Linked DNA regions of Caenorhabditis elegans. The protein of the gene in region 2 interacts with the protein of the main gene of each other region in a pairwise test. Each region holds a gene or a part of one and is shown on either strand. Other genes may lie near its edges.

Region 1 (5,875 bases), on a different chromosome or scaffold from region 2:
GTCATTTTAGGTCTTCGAATGGACGATGAAATCCCTGGAACATCATTATACTCGCACTATTTCACTCCACGACTTCTTCGCCCAAATTTGGTTCCAAAAATGAATGATGCTAATTCTGCGGCATATTTGGCTTCTATTGAAAAAGAAACGCTGGCATGTTTGAGAATGATTCGTGGAGCACCATCAGTTCAAATGCAAAATATTGTTGGAATCAGGCTCGACGAAATTGAGCAAATCGAAGAAAATGAACGACTACAAAAATCATCAAAATCTTCAATTGAATATGAAGTTGGAAAAGTATCAGAGAAAATGGAAGAAGAATGCTTTGTAGAAGAAGACTCAAAACCTCCATCATTTCCACCGGGTCAAGATCCTCGTCGGATTGGTCAGTACTGGGGATATGACAGGTCTGGATTGGCTCCACCGAGAAGTCACTCGGATGTTATTGAAGAAGCAAAATATGAAGATCGCGACAGACGAAAAGATCTCAATATTCCCGGAATTCCGTAACTTTCCATGTAATTAATGATTAAACACTGTGATGAATTTGTCAAAAATCTTTTCTGTGTTGGTTTTCAGTATTTCCGATTTTATATTGTTTTCTGTTGCATGATCTCTAAATTTCTCAAGTAATAAACCAAATTTCAGAGCTTCAACGTTTTCATTCACAATAGAATCTGAAAATATACAACTATTTCAAACATAAAGGAGGAAATGGTACTCCCGAAAAAATACCCGCGAAAGAAAGTGGGACGAGCAAATTTGTGAGTAGGGATGGGTACAGAAAAAGAAATGGAAACAACCGATGAAATATCCACAGAAGTAATCACATTCACAGTTCAACATATTACAGGGAGAAGTGAAAAATAGTGAAACCAAACATCTAATTTAGTTTTTAATGCAATCTAATTGCTATGGGTGAAACGGATAAAAATATCAACCCGTATAAATATAACTTGTTTCAATTTGATATACCTGTAGATGGGGACTTTGAAAATGGGAAAGCTAAACAAAAATAATAATAAAAAAAATAAACAAAAAAATGACTAAACTCGACGGACTAATCGAACTGGGCTGGAAGATAGTGAATGGCATGAGACAATGTCAATGATTTCTCGTGCGAGATGAACCACACGAATATCCAGATTGTGAATGTGTTTCGAGTGTCCATGGGACATATCCTCGACGATTGGAGAAAGCCCGGAATCCATAAACATTTCGATGTATCTGAAAATGTTTTGAAATGATTTTTGAAATTAAGAAAAAAGTAAATCAAAAACGTACCCTTTCTCATACGTAGGCGCTTTGTTCTTCTCGCGATGTTGAAGAACGTGATGAACTCCCCACAAACACCACATGATGGCCCCATTCGAATTTGACTCTCTAACAATACGACTGAATGGAATGAAAGATTTGTAGGAGACCATTGCCGATGGAAGTGTGGGATACTGCTCAATAAGCTCCAAGAGCTTTTCGCAAGCTTCGTCACGTTGATTTTCACTCTCCCAACCATCAGTGTTGGTCAGAAGATTAGCGAGAATTCCAGCAGCGAAATAAGATCGTTCAACTTCACGATACCGTCCTTTCGAATCTACTTCGTTGAATGATCCGTCAAGACAAGAACTGAAAAAAATTGGTTAAATTGAATTCAACGAATTAAAAAACATACATAAGAACAGAAATATACTCGTTTTTGCAAAGCTGTCCCAAATGCAATTCTTCCACTTCGGCCAAGTTGTTGAGGATGCCAAGAACCTTCGTCTGCACATTTCCATGATAATCAAAAGCTTTGAGAATTCTGAACGCAATCTGAACACCTCCAGCATCCAAAAATGCTTTGCATGTAGCCGGGCATTCGTCTGTTAGATTCCAGAGTGCACTCAGGGTGAACTTCAGAGTATACAGTGCATTTTCATTGTCTCGTTCGTGTCCAACTCGATGTTCACGAGTATATGCCTCCAGATAATCATTCATGATTTTGACAAGATGGTATACATATTTGGTTTCAGTTGTTAGAATCTTTGCTTCTGATGGTCGCATCTTTGGAGTCACAATCGACACAATTGCAATAGTCATTCTCTCAACGCTGGCATCACGATTCAAAAGCATCGTGTCGAGAGCAACTTTGCAGGTACGGTAGAAATCAATTTCATCCAAATGAAGAAGATAATCATTACAAATTGTAAGCCAGACGTTCTTCTGCAGCTGCGTCATGCTTCTATACTGCTCTGCTGCGTCAAGTGACCGTTCAATGCAATTGTTGACTTCTTTTACTGATAATCTCTTGATTCGCTTCATTCTGAAAGTTTCCATCATGGAAAATACATTTATAAAATAATAATACGTACTTGCAAAGATGATAGAGACAAGCACTACCCGCAATCTGCACTGGCAAAGTGTTGAGCCCCTGCTGCATCGAGATACACACAAGCCGTAAACACTCTTTCAACTCCTCCTGTGAAAACTTGTCGTAGCCGGACTGTAACTGGTAATACACAGAATGGAGAGCATGAGTGATGAATGCAGGCCTGTCCAGATTTGCATAATGGGACAATGCAAAAATGATAGATCTTCTCGAGACTGTGTTGATCACTTGCAAATTTCTGTTTGGAATCTCAATGAGTGACGAGTCGAGTGGAGTTGCTGTAATTTCAGAATTAAAACACTACATTTCCAGAATAAAACTATTACTAACCAAGTAAGCTAATTTGCTCTAATTTCGGATGCGCCTCAATAATCTTCTCAACAAATGCCAGTGCTCGATCGGTACCAAATTGAACAATGCTCAAACCAGACATATCAATTGCTCTTAGCTCCGCCCAAGGCGTAGCTGTCCCGCTCTCAATTGCTTCCACAGATCTGTTGTAGATACCAAGAGCCAAATCGAGATGAGCATCCTGTGACGTTTCTTGTAAATAGTCTGTGTTGACTTTTCTTGAAATGTCTAATACACGCAATTTTGTCAAATTAGACAATGTCTCTGTGACATCCCCTTTCAAAATGTTCAGGTTGTACATAATGAGGACTTCGAGATTTCGAAGACTTGAAATGCAAGAAATATCCGTGACACAGGTGCTCGAAATGTCCAGGAACCGAAGATTCAACAAACTCGCTCCAATTTGTGACAAAGTTTCGTTGGCAGTGCTTCTGTTAGCGAAAGCAAGACTTTCCAGACGAGGAAGTTTTCTCGCTACATACGTCGGCCAATTTGAAGTGATTCTGTGTCGTCCACTCAGATCAAGATGTCGAAGCTGTTGTCGTGAAGTTCGGTTGAGTGCCGTATCAAGCACGTCAGCCACTTGAATTTTGTTCGTATCTGAAAAAAAATGTATTAAAATGTTTTAACAAAAACTGCTTACTTGGAAAGTAATCAATATCGCCAAGTCGGAATGAAACCAGGTTCTGGTTCGAACAAAGCTCCAAATCTTGCAACTCAACCTTGTTGCCCATCAAATCAATTTTATTGATTTGGAATCGTGAGGTACTGCACATCGTTTGCAAAGTTTGATGATTGAGTTTCTTTTTTTGGCGAAGAACTTCAAAAATATCGTTGCTGCATGAGGCGATTACCTTGTGATCAAACTCTGGCAGAGCATCTGAAACTTTAATTTCCATAAATGCCGAAATCAATAAATTTACCATTTTCGATGAGCTCAGCAATTCGTTCAGTCGCCAATCTCGCAAGTCTCGGAATGGCCGAGGTACTGCATGTCGTCAGAGCTGCATTGTGATCCATATCAGATGAAATCTGAAATTAAAAGTAAAATTAACTTTATTAGTGAAAAGTAAAGAGAGATCGAAGTGCCTGATGAATGAGGGCTAAATAAATATTTAGTGGGACTCTCTATGAGTTACTATGTAGGTTGCAATTTATAGAAAATGAGAACAAATAGTAAAGTGAGAGGGTGAAAATAGATGAGAAAGAAGGAGCAGACTGGTTCCAGACACTTACACAAAGAAAATGAAAGTAAGAGAAAAAGGAGAGGTAGAAAAGAGTATGGGACACTGGACGATGGGCATATTAACGTCGGCCTTAAACGGTCCTCGGCCATGTCATTGGAGCGAAAATGCATTTTTAAGCAACAAGTAATATTAAAATAAAAGTAATGATTTTTTTATTAGACGGTCGAAAATTTCATCTTTTGCTGATACATAAAAAATTAATTCCAATTAGATTTAATACGGGGTGCAAAGATATGTTAATATTCGTATGTTACAAACTACATCCTTACTGTTGAAAAATCTTATTGAATAGCAACAGAAAATTTATCGATAATTTGTTTTTCTGCATCTCTTTCAATTCTCCTTCAACAACGACTTCTTTTTCAATCAAGAGAACATTACGTCATGAGAACAGTACGAAGAAAAGGAAAAAGAAGAAAAGATCACATGTCATTATGGGGAACCCCTTTCAACTATTACATGTGACTAACTGATTGAACAGTATACTATACCGTTTCTTCGGTATGATTGCACGCAAACGCATGCCGAGAAGACGAGAGGAAAATAATTCGAAAACGTCGATGATAATTGTTTCGAATGCGCACGCACATCAGGCGGTCAACATTCCCGATGAGACGCAGACATGATCTACGCACTTTTAAACATTGTTGCAAATTTGAATAAGTTGACACAATTTTTCAAACTATCATTATCAATTTGTTCGCTGGATTGTGGTTGTCCGGGTATTGCACAATTTCAACGACATTCGAGAATGGCTGATAACACTACACGTGGTTTTTTCCCATTACGTCTCTTTTCTAAAAATCAACTCAACTCACATGTGAGTGTCAACGGTCAATAAAATTATATTGAGAATGCTTTAAGTATTTAATCGTATTTCCGATGAATAAAATAAATAAAATTACTAATCGTCAGGTTGAACTTCTGAATTCAGTAAAATCAATCGAGGCAACCTTGAATCATGTCGCATCGTATCGTACAAAAGAAAAAAATGCGTTAATACCGAGAAAAGTTAAGAAAAAATAAATGAAAATTGCGATGCTCGCGTGAAGTTTTCACCGTCGACTGGGTAGTCGACCAACCAACTGATTACATTCAGTACGGGGAACCCCGGAGTGGAGGGAAGTGTCATGTGATCATGATAACGGGATGGGTGAGAATCAGAAGAAGAGGGTTTCCCCGACGTCTCTCTCTCCTGTCAATTGTAAAGAAAGCACACATTTTTTCTCTCATTTTCTCTAAATACTCTCGAATGTTGGATAATAATAATGACGGCAAGCGAAAATAGAAAAAAAATTTAGAAAGAAAACAGAAAGGACAACGAATTTTCTGGTTGCAGATCAGGAGAGTTGTGCAAAGTTTTTCGTGAGATCGATGAAAGTAAACTTTTTCGCATGAAATATCTCAAAATCATTGGAAATAACCAGCCTACTCATCTCTTTTTTTCTCTTACAAGTTAAAACAAAGCTACATGGTATTTGTACTGCTCCACACACTGAAAAGTTAAGCTTCCGATCACTTCTTTTGCAAACAATTCGTTGCCAATTCATCTTCATATGTGCACGCAGTACAAGTGTAACAAAATGAACACGAAAAGAGCAATGACCGAAGAGTTGAGAAGTCAGCTGGTCTAGCTTGTTGACACTGATTTTTTGAAGAAAAAAGGAAGAAATAAAGAAAAAGAAGGTTCTCGAGAAACGAAAGACACGGTGAAATGAACTGGGGGGAAGCGGCGGCTACAACAAGAAAAATTAAGAGAGAAGGTTATAAACAGTACAAGAGATGGTTATCATTCGCTCATTCTGCTGACTTTGAGATGTAACGCAGACAGAAAATAAGATTTGTGGCGAGAAAATGCAAAAAATGCGCGAAAAAAACAGTTTTTTTTTTCCCGCATACCGTACTGAAAATT
Region 2 (4,514 bases):
GAATCGAATCTTGTTCAAGCTAAATGTATCTGGAGAAAAGATCTTTGTGGTGACGGATATTACATCAACGCTGTTGGAAAATGTGATCTTTGCGACTCCTCATGCGAAACTTGCACCGCTCCTGGTCCAATGAGCTGTGAGAAATGTTCAAAAGGTTATGGTAAAGGATCGATTGGATACTGTAGACCGTGTTGTCCTGAAGGATCAACAAAGAGTTGGCAATGTGGTAAGGAAGACACTCTCAAAATCTTCCAGGTATTCTCACAATTATTTTTTCAGAGGACTGCTCCAAGCCGGATCCTACACTTTTGATTGATTCTAATAAATCATCTGGATTTGGATTGATGTTCTGGATTGTAGTTAGTTTGATTGCGGCTTGTGGAATCTGTGCCTGTAAAAAGTGTGCAAGTGAGACGAAAAGCTCAAACGTAGAGTAAGCCTTGCTAGTTATCGTCTCCGTAATTCGAATTTTAATATTTTTAGATATGCGCCGCTTGCTCAATATAATGCCACAAATGGTGCTATCAATTTAGGAGCACACACTGACGATGAAGACGATGATGAGGATGAAGTATTTGTGAACCCTCAAATTGTTTAAACCAAACCTTTCAAAATTCATGTTTTTAATTGTAATTTTTCTGCCAACTTCTTTGTGTATGCTTGTGAAATCCGGGTAATTGTTTCTTTTTCAAAATTTTAAAACCTGAAACGTTTTCAAGTGGCCTTTTATCATGTGATTGTATTGTTTCTTTTGTCTTATACCGGGTTTATTTTTATTATACCGTACTGTTTCCATGTTATAAATAGATTGTTGAATTAATTACACAAGACAAAACATCGACATATTAAGACTATACAAATGAGTTCCGACAGTAGACACCTAAGCCGACTCGATTCACTTCTGTGGCTTCAGCTCGGAAGTTTCGAACTTCTGCACGCGATGGTTTAGGCACTTCTGGTGACATATTGATAATATCATCTAGTGTAGGAAACGTGAATTCGGAGCCTTCGACAGGGAGAAACTTCTGATATGTGCTTCTGAAAGTAAGCAATTAATTAAAATCTGTGTTTTCTTCAAGGTTACCTCATAACATCTTTAATTCTATTCAATGTTCTTACAGTTCTTCCCGGGTTGTGCTCATCGAATGGATCTTGAATACACACCTCTTTGTTTGTTGAACTACGAACCATATTGTTTTGTGATGTTCTTCTGAAATTTCAGTTTATTATTTTGAAGAAGATCCAATTGGTTAATTTGTATTCACAGAAAAAAAAATCTACCGATCCATGACCATTACAGGCCTGGCACCAATGTAGTTTTCTTTGAAGTTGAACATCGAGTAGTAATATAGAAATTCGATGAACAATCTTGCCAGTGGAGCATTATTTGGGGCAATTCTAGGAAGAGGCTTGGGAAGTGGTGCACCAAAATTCAAAATTGATGGATAGACTTTGTCATCCCAAGCAATGAAATTATCCTCTGAAATGTTTAATTATGAAAAAAAAACAACAGAGAATATATTCACTCACTTTTAAAGATTTCTTGCAAATTTGGCAGTATTGGTGGAAATGTACCGCATTGGAGGAAGTGAATCACCAGTAGAACAAGTGCATAACTGAAATTTCAGAATTTTAGATAAATTCAAATAAAGTGATTAATATTTAACCTGTTGAATCCTCCATCTTTTGGATCTTTAACTTTTGTACTGGCTGCCCATTGTTTTACGATTGCACATAATGGTGCAAATCGGCCGTCGATACTTCAAAATTAATTGGAAATAGAATGTCTAACAACAAGAAAACTAACTGTGCCAAATGTCGAATCAAAAAAGAATTGTGCATCGATGACAGAAATCGATCCATAACTACACTGATATCACAATCGATTCCGTCTACCGTCATCACTTTCAAAATTTGAATTTGAGCTTGAACGAGCTGGATTCCATGTTCCCAATTAATTCTTGAATTGATCTGTTCATCATTTTGTAAGTTAAGACGGACAATTTGTAGGATTTCCAATTGAATTCTGTAATTTATGTCATTTAAATAATTAATTAATCCCGAGAAAGCCTAACTCTCTCCATGATGCTTGTCGTTCGTCATCTGTGATATTTCTTCCACGTTCTTCTTGTTCCAGAACTCTTGCCGCTTGTGGGATATGAATTGCAACGTCTAGATCACTGTTTTTAGTGGCCAATCCGGTTACTGTACTTCCAGTTGGCACGATATTGAATAGCCACGTTGGATTGTTCTTCGAAATTATATTCTTCAGCTGATAGCACCAATCCATTTTTTTACCGAACTCCTCTTTTGGCTGAAAATAAGGAACTCTTAATTTTTCATTTAATTCAAAGCAACCTGTTTCGTAGTATCGAAATGATCCTGCATACTGATAGACAATATATTGAAATCGTCCTCGTGATCCCTTAAAACGCGTTGAAACTTTCCGTTAAATTTGTGAAACGCTTTTGGATTCGCTTTGACCTTAAAGTCTATGTCTTCTGGACTTCGCTGATCTTTATTTGGTTGAGACATTGTTGTTACTACAAAAAATATTCAATTATTATTCTCATTGGAGGTGAAATAAAGCGCGACAATATAATTCTTTTAAAAAACTGGAAGGAAATGCACAAATGTGCTTGCTGTATAAAAATGAACATTAACATTCCAAGAAACGAATAAACAATTTTATGAATTTCCCGGACTCGCACCGATACCGCGCAAAGGAGTTGTGTTAGCGCACTCTCCGTGCACTATGCACATTCTTCGTTTCTCCAACGATTTTTTTTTGTAATTTAATCAAAAAAGCGAAGCATGTCCGATGATGAAAGTATTTTTGTTCCCGATGAAAATTCAGCACAAGTTTCTGCAGAAACGACTGTAAAATGGTAAGTCAATCTGTTCATAATAATGTTTTTATCGCTTCAAAAGTTACAGGACTGATAGCGCCAGTTCGCAGAAGGTTATCAACAATTTGGAGAAATTCGTGCTTAATCAAAGTCTTGACAAGAGTTATAAAAAGATTGTAAGTGAAATGTATTAGTGTTTCAATAACTAATCTTCTTGCAGGCAAGTGACGGCATCGCCAGCAGTAAAAGAACCCTCGAATCGCTTTTAGCTCGGAATGGTGGACATCAAAACCTTCTTAATGAAGAAGTTAACAAACTAAACAATAAAAACTACACTTTGGATGCGGATGGACGAGTTTGTTTGGTTAAAAATTCTTCAAACGACACGAGCCGCCACCAAGAGGTTTTTGTACCAATGTTTTTGAAAACCCTAAAAACGAGTTCATTCAGTTGATTCTTCTACAAAAAGACACCCATGAGCTTCGATGCCTTCGCGAATATTTGATGTTAGCTCTTGAAGCAATTATGCACAATCATCGGCAGATGATGGTCAAACATGTTCAGAACGTCAGAGAAAGGCCAAGACAAGTTTCTCAAGCAGCTATAGATAACGCAATAGTGAGTTATTTTATAAACTCAAAATTTAAAAACGTTTGAGGTCTCAAGCGCTTTTGGGCTTTTTATTGAGGCTTTTTATTCATTTTTGTTTCAGGAAAAAGCCAACACACGCATTATTGACGAATTTGCTCAGATGACACTCTTCGTCGATCAGTCCATTGCTCGCGAAGAAATTCGGTCGGAAAACAGACGAAAATTAAAGAAAACCATTGAAATTGAGACTTTTTTGATGAGAATGATGCTCGAAATGGAAGATATTCGGGAAGCAAATGTGAAAGATTTGGTGTCATTATGGCGGTAAATTATTATAAATTTTTAATTCAAATTATTTTCAAATTTAACGCTTCAAAGTAATTCTTACTTATTTATCACATATTTTTGTCGTTCACGACAATTTTTCATTGATTGCGATTTTTGGTCGATAGATGAAATTTTTGCATAATCGACGGAAATGTACCAAAAAACTCATAATAAATGGAAAAATATGCAAATAGTATGAAAAAATTTTGTAAGATTTTTTTGTTGAAATTTTAACAATTTTAGCCATTTTTTGACTCTAGTTACTAGTTTTTTGTCCAGTGTATTTTTTGTTAAATTTTTTAAAAAACAATTTTTTTAAGTTCATAAGTTTCCAGTAATTTTTTTTTCGAAAATTTACAAATGGTACATTTTTTTCGAAATCGTCGTAATAAAATATGATCGAATATTTTTTCCAAAAAATTTGCTACCTCATGATTTGTCTTTAAAATTCTTTTTGTTTTCAGGAGTCATCAACGTTCTGCAAAAACTCAACCAACGAATAACAACGCTGCTGGTGATTCTACAAACTAACTTTTGAATTCTTCACAATCGAAAAATAGAAAATCCACTGTCATATCAAAATTCCTTAACTAGAATCTCTCACCAACTCGTTTATAAATGTATTGCAATGATTGTACTATTTATTTTTGACCTCACTTTTTCCCTCCTAATCAGATTTCAATATTTGGTCCCTGTGTGTCTTTCTGCCTGTCACATTTACTTGTATTGTTCCTTCCCCACACATAA

The links.
Region 1: the proteins of rde-3 (region 2) and zyg-11 interact in a two-hybrid assay, tested with the Caenorhabditis elegans proteins (one large-scale study listed by BioGRID).

Annotation. Positions count from the first base shown.
Region 1 is NC_003280.10:8,015,553-8,021,427, reverse strand, and holds zyg-11 (Early embryogenesis protein zyg-11), read right to left. Parts: upstream 3,749-5,875; 5' UTR 3,737-3,748; coding exon 3,640-3,736; intron 3,597-3,639; coding exon 3,360-3,596; intron 3,317-3,359; coding exon 2,696-3,316; intron 2,644-2,695; coding exon 2,349-2,643; intron 2,300-2,348; coding exon 1,670-2,299; intron 1,624-1,669; coding exon 1,285-1,623; intron 1,228-1,284; coding exon 1,047-1,227; 3' UTR 643-1,046; downstream 1-642. Other genes in the region: hda-2 (Putative histone deacetylase 2), read left to right, coding at 1-510.
Region 2 is NC_003279.8:6,355,861-6,360,374, forward strand, and holds rde-3 (PAP-associated domain-containing protein), read right to left. Parts: upstream 2,551-4,514; 5' UTR 2,536-2,550; coding exon 2,359-2,535; intron 2,315-2,358; coding exon 2,076-2,314; intron 2,027-2,075; coding exon 1,808-2,026; intron 1,761-1,807; coding exon 1,668-1,760; intron 1,617-1,667; coding exon 1,531-1,616; intron 1,481-1,530; coding exon 1,282-1,480; intron 1,211-1,281; coding exon 1,085-1,210; intron 1,039-1,084; coding exon 852-1,038; 3' UTR 754-851; downstream 1-753. Other genes in the region: Endoprotease bli-4, read left to right, coding at 1-226, 280-433, 484-598; K04F10.3 (Vacuolar protein sorting-associated protein 28 homolog), read left to right, coding at 2,815-2,888, 2,932-3,025, 3,070-3,252, 3,300-3,467, 3,562-3,764, 4,232-4,298.